Linked DNA regions of Caenorhabditis elegans. The protein of the gene in region 1 interacts with the protein of each later gene in a pairwise test. Each region holds a gene or a part of one and is shown in the gene's direction. Other genes may lie near its edges.

Region 1 (7,627 bases):
AGATAAACACGACGGAATGTTCGTTCACTCTCACACTTCAGCCGTTTTTTTCCTACGAGCGAAACAATCAGCGGGGCGGGTAGTGAGCGAGTTGAGACTGTCTAGACTCGATGTGGTGATCTCTTTGGAGTACAGAGAATGTTCAGAGTAAATACAGTCCATTCGGCAACATTTGAAAACAAGAATTTAGTCAAAATTTATCAGCAATTCCTTTAGAAAGTTGGTTCTCAAACCTAAAATTTTTTAACGACATTTATAAAGTGGAACTGGAAATATCTTTGGTTCGGGAAAATTTGAGAAATTTAAATTACTGAAACTTTAAAAGTCATATTGAAAATTGTTATCCATTGCAGGTCAATAATTTTTGACTGAAACTTCAAATCTTGGTAATTGAAAAACGGTTTGACTAAATAGTGAGTCACTAGAACTTTGACAGTTGGTAAGACAGTTTTCAACAAAACTATTACTTTTCAAAGTTTTTGGTAGCTTCTCTCGAAAACATTCCTAATATATTTTCAGGTCCAAATCAACCTTTACCAAAAATGTTTCCTCTGTAATTTTCTTGTCAATCCCACTTTGTTTCTACCGCTTCTTCTCCTTTCCATTTCGAGGACACAGTCGAGATCAAATGTGTGCGTTGAAACTGCCAATTTTCATTCTCTCTCTGCTAACTGAACACAAGACCTGAAGGTGCTCATTAGGCGAAATTGAGAAATATTGGATTACTGTAGGCTTAGATATGTAATCAATCTGAAACTGGTGACGCGGGTGTTCAGAAAAAAAATTGTGGTTGGGTTGGGGGGTTAAGATTCAAATGAAGAAATGAAAAAAGCTAGTAAAAGCTGAAAGAAAGTACTTAGCTTATGAATATTAATTAGGTCACATGGGAGCAGTTATGAATTTCCAGTCCTAATTTTTTCTACAGCCCGGTGCCGGGATCTTGGCCCTATGGACTGAAAAAAAGCTCAAGAATTGTATTTTTCCTCGAAAAAAAAATATAATTAAGCTTTCTATATAGGCTCCAAGGTTCCAACTTGTGGATCCATAATTCTAGACATAGTTTCAATTTCCTTTAAAGCAAGGTAGGTCACATTCCAGGAATGTTTAATAGTTTTCTAAAATACAGAAAAGTCTAGAAAAGCCTACCCAACGAATGATAATAAAAGTTCGAACAAAACCTATAAAAATTGAGTTACAGGAAATAAAATAAAAAACTAAAAGTTTGCAATTTTCTCTCGTCTCTTCTCTTTCCATGATCACACGTACTTACAGGTGTCCCCAAAAAACGCAGAGATCACACGATTCGCGGAGTGTCAGCCAGAGAAAAAATATGTCGTCGCGAGAACTGATAGCGGTGTCCCCCTCCACCGCCATAGTCTCGGGGCGCCGCTCCCTCCCGATATATGTTTGTCTGGCGTCTCTTACCAGGTTTTCTCACGTTCGGCGTTCTCTAATTATCGTCGTGTGAGGTCTTCTATCCAATCGCGGGTGGCATCAGTCGCCAAAAAAGAGGCGGCGCTTCGTCGCCGCGACTCTTTCTTGCTGGGACCCGCCCCGTTTCACAGGAGGGGAGTGCCTATTACTCCCTCTTTTCCTTTTCTTTTCGATATTTGAATGCTATCGGTGCTCTAGGAGCTCGATCTTGACCCCTTGTTGGAGGAAATTGTACTTTTGGGTAGGTGCTTCCAGTCGATTCAGAATAATTTTTTGGGGTTTTTGAAAACAGTAAAATTATGTGAAAATGTTTCCATCTTTGCGTCTACAATTTGTGGCTGACTTTCCTAACAGTCTACTCTTTGAAATTTTTGAGAAAATGGCTTAACAAAAACTTGAACATTTGATCTGATGTACATTGTAGAAATACTGTAGCTCCTGACTTGTCTGTTTGTCTTGGTTTTAGTCTCTACAAAAAATTATTTCTTGATAAAAACCTCTAATTGATTAAAAATTGAACCTTTTGTAACACGATCAAATGTTGCCAGTTGCAATTAATCGATTTTTGTGATTTTATAAAGTTTGCAGTTAGGTTTGAAAAACTTCAAACGTATTTTATTTAGAAATTTATTTGCTCTTTTTTTCCTTCAAGTCAAATAAGCAATACGGTTCTGTAAATTAATAAAACTTTGTTGCCATTAAATATTGAAATTCCATGTATATCCGTTCTGAAAAATTCTTTATAAGAAAAAATTTCAAACTGGTTTTTAACATTTTTAACTATTGCAGGTTTAAAAACATACAGTAGCCCAACTTTATTCCACATTTAAAGTCACAGAATGAGCCCAACGTTGAATTGAACATTTAGATTATAAAAACGTATTTTATATATGTTTGAGCTATCTGTAATTTTTGAAGAAAAAAAAACTGGTTTCAAAGCTCTCTAAATTTTCTGTTTTAAATTCTCAAAATTCTTAACATTATAGGAAAAGAAAATTTTTTTACTTTACTTTGAAAATTTTTTTAATCCGAAAGATATACACTGGAAACTAGAAAAGATACAGTATTACAAAAAAAATTCGCATTACCAGCTGCTCCTTTAAAAAATTGAAAATTTGTTCCGATGCAAAGAACAATATTTTTGGCGAAAAAATGTTCTTTCTCACAAAAATCAGTCTTGAAAATTTGACTTTTCCACGACATTTTCAAAATTTCGTAATTATTTTATAAGTCAAGATTAGAGTATAGCAGTTTCATATAATGCTTATAGATCCCTCTTTTTAATTCCCTAATTAAAAATAAAAATTTCAACAAAAACAACTAAATTCATAATCTGAAAAAATTTTGCAGAGGAGCTCTAATGCTCACCGAGGATCCCGTATCGGAGATTTGTGAGGCGAAAGCAGTCGATGAGCTCGCCGAGCAAGAAAAAAATTATTATTGTCAGAGATGTTTAAATCATGGGGAGTTGAAGCCAAGGAAAGGTCACAAGCCGGATTGTAGGTGAGCAATGGTTTTTTTTGCATTTTTAAACTACATTTCATCTGAAAACTATTTTGTCATTCCATGTTTCTCCCTCATTCACCCTTAATTATATACATCACGTTTTAATGCTTAAACTCTTGAATTTTTTGATAATTTTGGGTCTTGCAACGATAAAAAGTTAACAACTGTTTAATGAACTTTTTGTAACTTTTGTTGTGCCGAAAAAGTATGTAGTTTATCCATAAATACTCCAAATTCCAAATTTTATCTCAAAATTGTCGCGTCACCGACCTTATTCACCCACCATCAGTTTTTTTTTTCGCGAAGCCCTCCGACAAAGACACCCGTAAAATTTGAGATGTTCGTCTACCGATTACGATCGGGCAAGAAAAGACGCAAAGCAAGAAAAAACAGCTGACCTTGTCGATTTAAAGCGAAAAATACCACCCATACAGGTGAAATTGTTATTATATGAGTGAGGGGGGTCAAAAACGAATTATTATATGGACGCGAAAAACGGAGGAGAAGAATGGGAAAATGCAAAGAGGCAAAAAGTTATGTTTTATACATTAACCTAAACCATTTTGAAGGTGGTCTAGGGATACTGTAGATGTTTCACCAAGGTGAAAGATGACTCAAAAAGATCTTGCAATGACGACAATTATCACTAAGCTAAATTGAAGATGGATTAGCGAAATCTGGGAAACATTTTAAAATGACTACAAGAGTTTTTTGAATACCTATGTGAAATTTTTTTAATTCCCTGATTTCGCTACTACACATTTAATAATATGTATATCAAGGTGTGTTACTCTTTTTAGGTTTTTTTAAACGCTCGTTTAAAGAATTTGTACTTCTCTGGTTTAAATATCCAAAACTCGCCCGAAACGACCGAATTTCATTATTAGGCTTTACAAAAATAATATCTATCCGGTTAAAAATTAAAAAAAAAACTAGTGAAATTCTGCCAGCTTCTTCTTCGGTCGATCATTTTTTCCAATGTTTAGATAAATTCAAAAAAGCGCTTCTTTTTTTTCGAGATATGTTTGGGAAGTTACATCATGAATTTTGGTTGTTTGGGATCAGTTTGAGACAATTCAAGCAACTAAAAATTTTTCAGCCTTTTTTATTATTTTTTTTGGAACCGAAAATTATTAAAAAATTATGTTTGCTTTTCATTCAAAAATCTTCATTCATTTTTTGACATCCAATCACACAGATACACTCACTTTTCAAACAAACCATTCCACAATGACCTATACAGTCGTAAAATTCCTCACCCAATTTTTTTTTTCTCCCAATTTTTTCAGTTCATATAATTTTTAACAAAAGATAGGGCCTATCTCTATTGTGAAAAGTCTAATAAAATATTTGAATGGGTGGGCGGGTTACTGTACAACTACAAAATTCTCCCGTCGATGACACCAAGTGGCACTGAAAAATAAACAAGACGAACATTTTACAGATATCTAAAATGTCCATGTCGAGAATGCACGATGGTCGAGCAGCGAAGACAGTTGAACAATTTGCTAAGCAAAAAGAAGGTGAGTATTCTATAGGGATTCTATGGTAGGTGTGGCTGTAGGTGGCTGTGCCTTACCTCATTCCTGTCTGCCTACATTTCTGTTTCGCGGTGTAGGCGGTCTTGAAGGTTGTATGTGCGTTCTCACGCACTTAAATACCACATCTTATCAGTTCACCAAAAAATCGCAACTTCAGATCAAATCTGACATTTTCAAAATGAAAAGTGGGTTGACGTCTTGGCTTTTTTCTCTTTTTGTAAGAAAAACAATTGAAGATACGAATAGATAGAGTGTGAAAAGCAAAGAAAAAGTGAGAAAAAGATTGATTTTATCGGATTTTTTTAAGGGTAGGTATATTTTTCATGAAGTTGTTCTTTTTCAAAAGGGGCTCTTGTTGTGGCAAGTCACATATAGGTCATTGCCTGGCCATCTATAGGCGTACCTACCTTATTGTTTTATTTCAGTTATTTGTTGAAAGTGTATTTTTAAATGAGAAAAATGCTCACTTTGGACCATGGGTATGCGTGTAGGTATGAGGCAATTGTAGGCTGCATTGACTGCAAGCATTCTTGAGCCTACTGAAAGTTTATACCGAATTTCTTGGTTATTGTTTTTGTGATTGCATTAACTCCTATAATATTACTGTGAAAATAAAACACTTTTTAGCGGGACCCCTTATAAACCTTTCCAAATTTCCAGATCCACTGCACACCGGCAACTCAAACCCGTGATGGGAAGCGTGTCCGTGACCCACACTGTGCTCGGTGCTCGGCTCACGGAGTCCTAGTCCCATTGCGGGGACACAAGCGGACAATGTGCCAATTTGTGACATGCGAGTGTACATTGGTAAGTGTAATTATACTGTCATCATCGGCAGTCAGGCGCCCTTGACAACATTGCAGTTTTTATGCTTTTCAATGTCACCTGCGCGAAGAAATTATAGGATTATAAAAGTACTGTAGGGAAATGGGGGAGTGGCTTGCCAATGAGATTTGAGAATGTGACTTTTTGAAACATTTTGATAAGTTTCAACTATTTCGAAGTATTTTTAATGCAACAGTGCTACGAATTGACTTTTTAAAAATTGTTGTGGAGCAGGCAACTTGGAGCATGCTCTTGGACTGACAGAGAAAGTTGCCACATTAATTTGTGTGAGATTTTTGAAAACGCGTAAACAGAACTACGATTTTCGAGTTTAAAAATATTATTTTTCAGTGTACTCTTGTGGAACACCGTCGAAATCTTATGGCGGCTCAAATCAAATTACGCAGATCACAACAGAAATCCCGAGATGGTAAAGAACCAAAAAGGAACTCTCGTAGAAAATCGAAAGATATGGATATGGAGATGATGGTTGTCACAGCTACAGATGGTCAAAAGATAATTGGTAAGCTATGGGATTTTGTAGAAGTGTGTAAATTGAGCTTTAAGTCAGAATCACAAAAATTGGAGTCTAAACCTGAAATCCAGTCGGAAGTAATTCTAGAGTTGACGGTACGTATTAACGTTATCAGAAACATAGATTTTACCATCAACTCATAGATTATATAAAATGGCTACTTGTTATTTCCAATTTTTCGTACCGAAACAATCAAATACGGGAATATCCAAACGCATCAATAAACAATTACGAAAGTTAAGAGGTTAATTTCAAATATGTCTAGAATCTCAAATTGGTACAACTTCTCAGTTATAGAATATGTCTTTCTGCTTACCTATCAGGCGGGCCCTGCCCTGAAAGTTACTTTGCCTTAAAGATAATTACCACTTAAGCCAATGTATTTTCAAAATTCAGGGGAAGACAAAAAAGTGGTAATTTTGATGCAAATATCAACGCAGACAGTTAAAATTTATATTGTAGCTTCAAAGAAATTAAATCTATAATATTCCAGGAACATCAGCAAGTCCATCTCCATCCTCAACCACTGATACAATGTCCCCATCCCTTTCAATGTCTCCACCATGCTCTCCATCTCCACTTCTGGCTCAATACACTCTGACGCTGGCTGCTCCGATTCCAATCTATCCGCCGATCCCAATGAATCAACAATTGATAAGCTTGCAACAACAACAGTTCCTGATGAGCATTATTCAAAATATGGCTCCATCAATCGGACAACAGGCTCCACTCCTTCCAGGCATTTCTGCAGGTTCTGTCTCATCGGCAGCAATTTTGAATGAGTTCTGGAGTATGTATCTGAAAAATTATGGTCTGCAAGCCTAAGATCTATAATTTTGACCAATTATTGATTTTTAGAAAAATTGTATGTTTCCCTTCTTTGCTTAATTTTCCACACAATCTCTTTTTATCTTTGGTTTCAAACTCAATGATTTTTTCATATTTTCTTGAATTTTCACTTTTTACCAATTTTGTTATATTTTCTAATTTTTTCATTCATTTTTCACCAAGTGAACCAACCAATTTACCGATTTTTTTCTCGTCTTCAAGACCGCTTGTGTTATTCCAAAAATCCCCATTTTTTTTAAATTCAAATAATCTTTTCGTCTCTCACCAAACCACATACTATCTTTCTATGTCTCTTCGCCACCTAATCATGTCATCAATTTCTTCGAAAATTCCCAAATTTCACCGATATTCTTCCGTTTGCATCGATTTCCCACTGTCCCCGCCCAAATTGAGCTGAGCTCCGCCCACACTTTCCCAGGATTACTGTATTGTTTCTCGCTCTGCGTCTCTCATTCTCGTTCCCTCTCTCTTTGTTTTATCTCGGAAAATAGGATCAAATCCTAAACAGTTAACCGGTCCGTTTTAGACACCCCCGGTGGTAATAATTTTGAAAAAAAGTGAAATCATGTTTTTTAATGTTTTGGTTTTAAAAAACCAAACATTTTTTGGAGAGAAAAATGTATAGAACTTCCAAACATACAAACACACGACGCATCGAGTCTAATAATTATTGATTTATTTTTATTATTTTTGATTTTTCAATAAACTTTTCATTTTTAAATCGTCTTGGTTCTGTATGCAAACTTGATCGTACAGCAATTTCCAGAAAAAAAGTTGGCGGCCGAGCTTTCTCTTCCGCGGCCATGTAGAAACCCATAGACAAGGTCTTAGCACGAATGAAACTTTTCCGTTACCGTACCATAGGGTATTTCCCAATTTCTCCTGTTTCAGAAAACATATTTTTTTTAAATTTAAACTTTCGTTGCTTCTGAGTTTT
Region 2 (6,716 bases), on another chromosome or scaffold:
TTTTCACAAAAAACAACACCGCTCTCTGGAAAGCACCAAAACCCATTAACTAGTTGCTTCTTCTACTTCAATTCCACAGCTTCATCATCTTCTGGCTCCAGCTCCTCATAAATTGTGCCGCGACCTCATGTCTACACCCTCCTACCTCCCGTGTTCCTCCCCCGGCGATTGACTCCGCCCAATGACTCCTCCTCCATCGCTTTCTCATCATCGTTTGACATCAATCTCCCTACCATACACCTTTTTGTCTTGTTTGGCTCATATGTACCTACATCTTCCTGTATTAGTACAAACTTCCGCCATTGAACTTTTTTTGTTGCAACTTTATGTTACTATATATGTGTTGTTGTTACATGTTGTAATAACTAAATGATCGAATGACCCAAAGAGAGATGTTAACACAATAACTGACACAATAGTAAATGTATTACACCGTGTCCTCTTTTTTTACCTTTTTCTTCTCCATTTTCTTTTTCTTCATCATCGTCATCAGCGCCATCGTTGGCCACTTACTCTCGCCGGCGCCCCCTATCCAGCAGCTACACTTCTTTACACCCCGCTTCGGACAACAAGAGACATGCCATTTTAAACTTCTATTCTCTCAATTCTTGTCCCCCTACAAACCGTTCTGACCATTACCTAATTGCTTCTACGATGTATCATTCTTGACTTAAGTTCACTGATTTCAGCTTCTTCTCCTTTGTCCTTTTTTTGTTCGTGGCGCCATTGTGTGTTCGGGTCATTTGATAGTACTCTCTAGATTTTCCGTCGTTTTACTTTTTAACTTTCAAATGTTTATACTTTTTTTCTCTTCATCCTGCCAATATTTCGGATTAAACTCTATGCAATGATCCTTCCAAAGCTTCCTCTTCCCGTTATTTGCTTCAATTTTCAGTTTCCATTCGTGAGCCAGCCAGCAAATTTACAACTTGTTTGCTCTTCGTCCTTGTGAATACATTTATTGAGATTTTTGGTTCTTGTATTTCTTAATTTTCATTCCCAAACTTGATAATTGGTAGAGGTAGAGAGGTATTAGGTTCGAAAGATTTTTTTTGCACAAAAATAACAATTCTAGAATCAAACTTGGAAATAATAACACTAAACAATGAAATAGTAAGATATCAAAACCATCATCATTCTTACAATCATTAGCTGGAACGGTTAATTGTTTATCTTTCAATCTCTTTTAGTTGCCATATCATCAATTTGTTTTCTTTCCGTTCGATTCTTGTATCCTTCATCATCATCTTCTTCTACTTCTCTTTACTCCGATTCTTTTCCGTTTCTCTTCGTGAATTTCTCCGGTTTATCTTGTTAAATCTACGTGTTCGCACGTGTTTTTTGCGCTTCTTCAATTTCTTTCCCTACTCTCCAGGCCCCGCCCTGTGGCTTCCATGTCTATTGGATGGTGGGCGGGACTTGAGAGAGAGAGAGAGACACACACGGCCCCGGGCGGGCATCTGCAGAAAATCGAGATTGCTCAACAAGTTGTTGAACATAAGGTCCCACATAGTTCTACATCATCTCAATTTCTTCAAGAATTATCAATCAAACCTTTTCTCTTTCTCTTCTATGCTTATCACTGAATCGCTCCTCCTTTGCTCCCTCTTGATTTCGTCGCCTCTCTGCCTCTCTCTCACTCTCTCTGTCTATCTTTTTCAACAAAAAACTGCTCTGGAATTATAACTGATATCAATGTGTTCTTCAGATCATAAATAATCATACTTATCAACTATTGTTTCTGCACTTGTACTGAGATCAACACATCTACTTCTACTACACCATCACAATGATTCCTATTGCCAATCAGGTCAGTTTTTAAGCGATAAGTTTAATAAGCTAAATTATAATTTCTATATTCTCAAGTAGTGTTCTTACATTTATTTATTTCATTTTTGTCCTTCTTGACACTTGGAGTCAACTTCCTGCTCTTTCCAATTGCCATGTTAACCTTGCACCGCCACTGCTTGGCGGTTTATATCTCGGTTGCCTTCAGCTTTATCAAAAAGTGTTATACAACCAAAACATAGAAAATTATTTTGCAAGTAAATTGTCCGTTTGAAGTTTTTTAATAAAACCACAAAGAACTGAGATATAAACTGTCAAAGTGAAGGAAGAGGGGGGTGCAAGTCTAATATAGAAAATTGCAGTTGAGAAGTTGTCAAAGCTTGGACAAGGTTTTCGTTTTCGATTCCTACCAATTTTTACATAAATCTTAGATTAGACAACATTTGAACACAGTCTCAAAATACTTCCTTCCAAAAAATTTAGATGCCAAATGTCAGATTTATTCGTTTGGATACCTTCACTTCACCTGACTAGAAAAGTAAATCCATTTCCAGGTCAAAATGGAAGAGCCCACAACACCACAAACAACGACTCCTGCTCCACCCACTTCAGCTCCGGATGCACTTCGCGGAATTCTGCCACCAAACCTTTTAGGTCAATTTCATTTCCATCCTGCCATGGCTCAAGTTCTCGCTGCTCAAGCTCAAGCCGCCGCCGCCGCTCAACAAGCAACTCTTGCTGGCTTCCCCGGAGTTCCGATGTTTCCACATGGAATTCCAGCAGATCTGAAACCAGAAATGTTATTAGGTGGAGGGCCAGGACCGATGCCCATGTTCTTCAGTGATGCTCATCGTTTATATCATCCATATGGTTTAGATGGAATCAAGAAAAGAAATGCAACACGAGAAGCAACTGCACCACTCAAAGATTGGCTTCATTCTCATAGAAAGAATCCATATCCATCAAAAGCTGATAAAGTTATGTTGGCAGTTGGTACAGGAATGACACTTACACAGGTATGTTGTATTATTTCTTGTTTTGACAACAATTAGTAAATGCAACACTGTGAAATGATTTAATAGCCGTAATAGCCTATTACCAACCGTAATCTCGTAATTTACTCCACAATATTTGCTCAATTTATTAGCTCACACGGGATTTTAGAGCCGCCTCTAGTCATCAATTACAAATACCACAAAAAATATTGTTGTAAAATGTAGTAGACAGTGTTTCCCGCAGTGTTATTGTAACATTAGCCACTCACCGGCCATCAAACCCCGGGGGCAAATGTCTCCTTTTTTGACCGATGCCAAAAAAAGAGGGGCGAGAAACAAAAGATGTACAGAGGCGATAAGCGATGATGATGACACCTCGTACCCCGCTTAATTAATGTGTTTCGAGAGACATTCTTTACACAATACGAGAAATGTTTCAAACCAAATAGGGCTACTACTTGTTTGATTTTGTTGCAATAGACCAACAACACACAACCTTGGCGCCAAAAATTAGATTTTAAAATTGTTTGAACCAAAACTTTGAAGTTATTTTATTAAAATAAACTCTAGCCCGAAAAACAAAGCCGAAGCTTGAAATTTATATTTTTAATTACAGGTCTCGACATGGTTTGCTAACGCCAGAAGACGACTGAAGAAGGAGAACAAGATGACTTGGTCACCACAAAATCGACGAGGCGATGGTTGTGATGACGATGAAGACGACGATGATGATGACATGAACCGTCCATCAAGCTCAACATCCATAAATTCCGAAAGAAAAGGAGAATCCCTATTCGGAAAGCCACATCTAGCATCACCAACGCCTTCGGGAGGATCTGGAGGATCAGATGAGTTGACAACACCGAAGAAAGAACTAGTATCCCCAATTCCAAATGATGATTCTGAAAGTCCGAAGCGTAAACCAAAAATGTGGTCGATTGCCGATGTCACTTCAGATGACGATTCATCAAAGAAGGTGAGAGCAAAAAAGTTTAGATCATAAAATACATTGTACAGATTTTATAGTTTTCCCCATCTTCCCTCTTATTCTAACAGTTTTACGAAATGGACTTAAAAACTATTATATGTTTAGTAGGGGCAAATAAAGAGTCCTCCTCTCCCTTCATCTTGTTCTGCACATTTTATAGAGATGTAAACTAGTATGAATCATTTGTATGTGTGTATGTGCAAACTTGTGAGGTGAGTGTGAAGCAGCCGACAAAACTGTGCCGCTTTAACAACAAACATGATTGAATGATGGTTTTATACATTTTCATAAAGTACATTAAGGAATTGATGGGAGATCAGGGGGTCATATTGTAAAGTTTAGGCATGGGTTACTGTACTTGGAAGATACATTGAAGCATACAGCAGTGCCTTTTGGCAGCTTATATTTTTCATAAAGTTGTTAAAGTGAAGTAATTTAGTTCAAGATGATGAATAATGGTAACCCCTAGCAAACATCTTTTTATTTAGGATTCTCCACCATCATCAGACGAAAATCTATTAACGGGAAGCTTGTTCCAAAACGCAATGAAAAAACAAATGGAAGTAATGGCACGATTGGATCCAACTTTGTTCCGTCACACAATGCACCCATTCATGTTCCAACTTCTAGCCCAACAAGCTGCTCAAGGGCAACAACTTGCACTTTTGGCACCACAAACAACTCCTCCAAATGAAGCAGGTGAGGTGAGCAGGTGAATACACTTTTCTTACATTTTGTTACATGGCAACCTGTCTGCTTTTTCTTATCATTCTTTTTTTGGGTATTCCGAATGATTGACAGCTAGTTGAACACCGTGCGTGCTTGTACATGAACAAGAAAAGTCGAAACGTAATCCTCTTAATTTTAAAGTTGTTATCCTGTCGTGACGCTCAGTTTTTTTGCTATTTAATGCACTAATCATCCCATATTTACTGATAATAGGTGTATGTTTTCTGATACACATTATAAGGGGAAAGTTCAGTAGCTACAGCTTCTAGATAGGCATTAACAAAAGAGGGTCTACACTTAAGTTCTAGATCCTTTTCAAATGTTTTAGCTCAGAAAGAGGAGTTCTTTTCTATGTAATAATTTTGTTCGAAACGTCAAAGGCAACGAAAAAGGGCTTAAACTGAAGTAAGTGTCTCCTCATTGACCCCACGGATTAGTGTGCTCGTTTTTCTAAACCGCGTGTTCTTCGTCACTCAGTTTTTGTCCAAAAAAGGAGCGCTGCTCCCGGAGTCAAGTCACCGAATGATAAATTGCCGATTTGATCCGTTCGTATAGTTGATGGGAAACACTTTCTTATAACTTATTGAACATGTAAAAGCAATTCTAGTTGACCAATATGGGGAAAAACTAGAAAGCCTAGTCTTATTTGAAACGTTGAACTGAAATTTCTCAGAGCATTCCTTCAAATACAAGCATGTCAAGCTGCTCTAAATCCGGATTTTACATTATTTTAGTGATTTTAAGGTTGTTTAGATGCAAAAAACATTCTGAAAGCTTTTTGGAGATTTTAATAATTTTCAAAAAATCAGATCATTTTTCACACAACTCAATCTTAAAACTTTCAAAAACTAAAAATTTCAAAAACTTTTGAAATATAGCTTAATTGACTTGGTGCCTAGGTTTATTGCAATATACAATATTTAAAAAATCTTTGAACAATTTTTAAGCCTTGATTTTAATGAATAAATAATTTCAGGTCTGAACTCTCAAGCGGAGACGTCGACGCCATCTCCAGCATCTTCTCCAACGTCGTCTCCACGGTCCCACCAAGAGTAGAAACCCCAGCTTATTAAGTTTAATTTTTTTAAATGAATATTGTACTCTCTCAAAGTTTCACCTCCTCCACTAAGAACTCTGAAATCGAGAAAATATGATATAAACAGCGGGTCTTTGAATTTCATTTTTTTCTCCATCCCATTTAAGTTTCGATTATTTTGGTCTCTCTCTATGTACAGTACAGTATTGTCTCCCAAATATTCACATCCCATCAAAAATTTCATTCGGTTACTGTAGCACCATATAGGCTTTTTCTTTCTCATTCATTTGCTTTTTTATGTTCTTTTAAACTTTATATGAATTCCATGACTATGAATTTTTTGTCTCTCTTTCTCTATTTTTTCCCCCAATTTCTCCCAGTTTTTTCTCACATTATTAACATTATTATTATTTCAATTCCACACAATTTTTCACAGGATGCATCTAGTTTTTGAGCTTATGATCGGTTTTCTCAATTTCCCGCCAATAATTGGAGTACTTTAGAAACAATTTTCTTTTTTTCTTGCTTTTTCCCACCAATTCGCTTCAAATCTCTTCACGCAAACCCACTTTTCTTACAATCCCATCTCATTTCTTTGACAATTTACAGTTTTTTGTGAGAAAGATACAACAACCTGCACGCATAATTTAGAAAATGAAGAAGGTTTAATATTTATTTCTTGAATATATTTTAAGCTAACAAAAAATCATGAAAATGGATATACATTTAATTGCACAAAATACTGCAACCATTTCAAAGAATTGCAGGCTGAATTAGTGACAACATTTCGGTTATCAAGAACGTGCACTTTTAAAGTAATTTTGAGCATTGCTTCATGTTCAAAAACATAGAATTTTTAAAACACAAATGGTTATAGAAACAAAATTAAAAACGTATAAAACTGGTTGATGATATATTTTTTTTGGTCGACTGTCAAATTATGATTGGTAAAACTAAGTTATCACCACATTTTGGCTGTAAATAAAAATTTCTGAAAAGGTTCACAATGATATTTAGACGTTTTAGCGTTTTTTTTTTAAATTTCCACTTAAAAATTCAATTGAAGTCTTTTTAGTTTATTTTCCCATTACTGTTTTTTGCCGACCTCTTGAAATTTAGGGGATGTGTAAATGTAGACATATGTACATTTTGGAAGCTTTTTTTAAAAAGAAATATCATG

Evidence for each region. The genes of interacting proteins can lie anywhere in the genome.
Region 2: the proteins of mab-3 (region 1) and irx-1 interact in a two-hybrid assay, tested with the Caenorhabditis elegans proteins (one large-scale study listed by BioGRID).

The regions. Positions count from the first base shown.
Region 1 is NC_003280.10:9,730,628-9,738,254, forward strand, and holds mab-3 (Protein male abnormal 3), read left to right. Parts: upstream 1-1,603; 5' UTR 1,604-1,675; intron 1,676-2,784; 5' UTR 2,785-2,794; coding exon 2,795-2,937; intron 2,938-4,383; exon of another isoform or gene 4,384-4,384; coding exon 4,385-4,463; intron 4,464-5,141; coding exon 5,142-5,288; intron 5,289-5,657; coding exon 5,658-5,829; intron 5,830-6,334; coding exon 6,335-6,666; 3' UTR 6,667-7,408; downstream 7,409-7,627. UniProt on the Caenorhabditis elegans protein: Transcription factor which binds the DNA motif 5'-[CGA][TCA][TA]ACAATGT[AT][TGA]C-3', probably as a monomer.
Region 2 is NC_003279.8:9,535,959-9,542,674, reverse strand, and holds irx-1 (Putative iroquois-class homeodomain protein irx-1), read left to right. Parts: upstream 1-1,708; 5' UTR 1,709-1,789; coding exon 1,790-1,810; intron 1,811-2,342; coding exon 2,343-2,804; intron 2,805-3,004; exon of another isoform or gene 3,005-3,144; intron 3,145-3,399; coding exon 3,400-3,759; intron 3,760-4,259; coding exon 4,260-4,470; intron 4,471-5,476; coding exon 5,477-5,556; 3' UTR 5,557-6,210; downstream 6,211-6,716.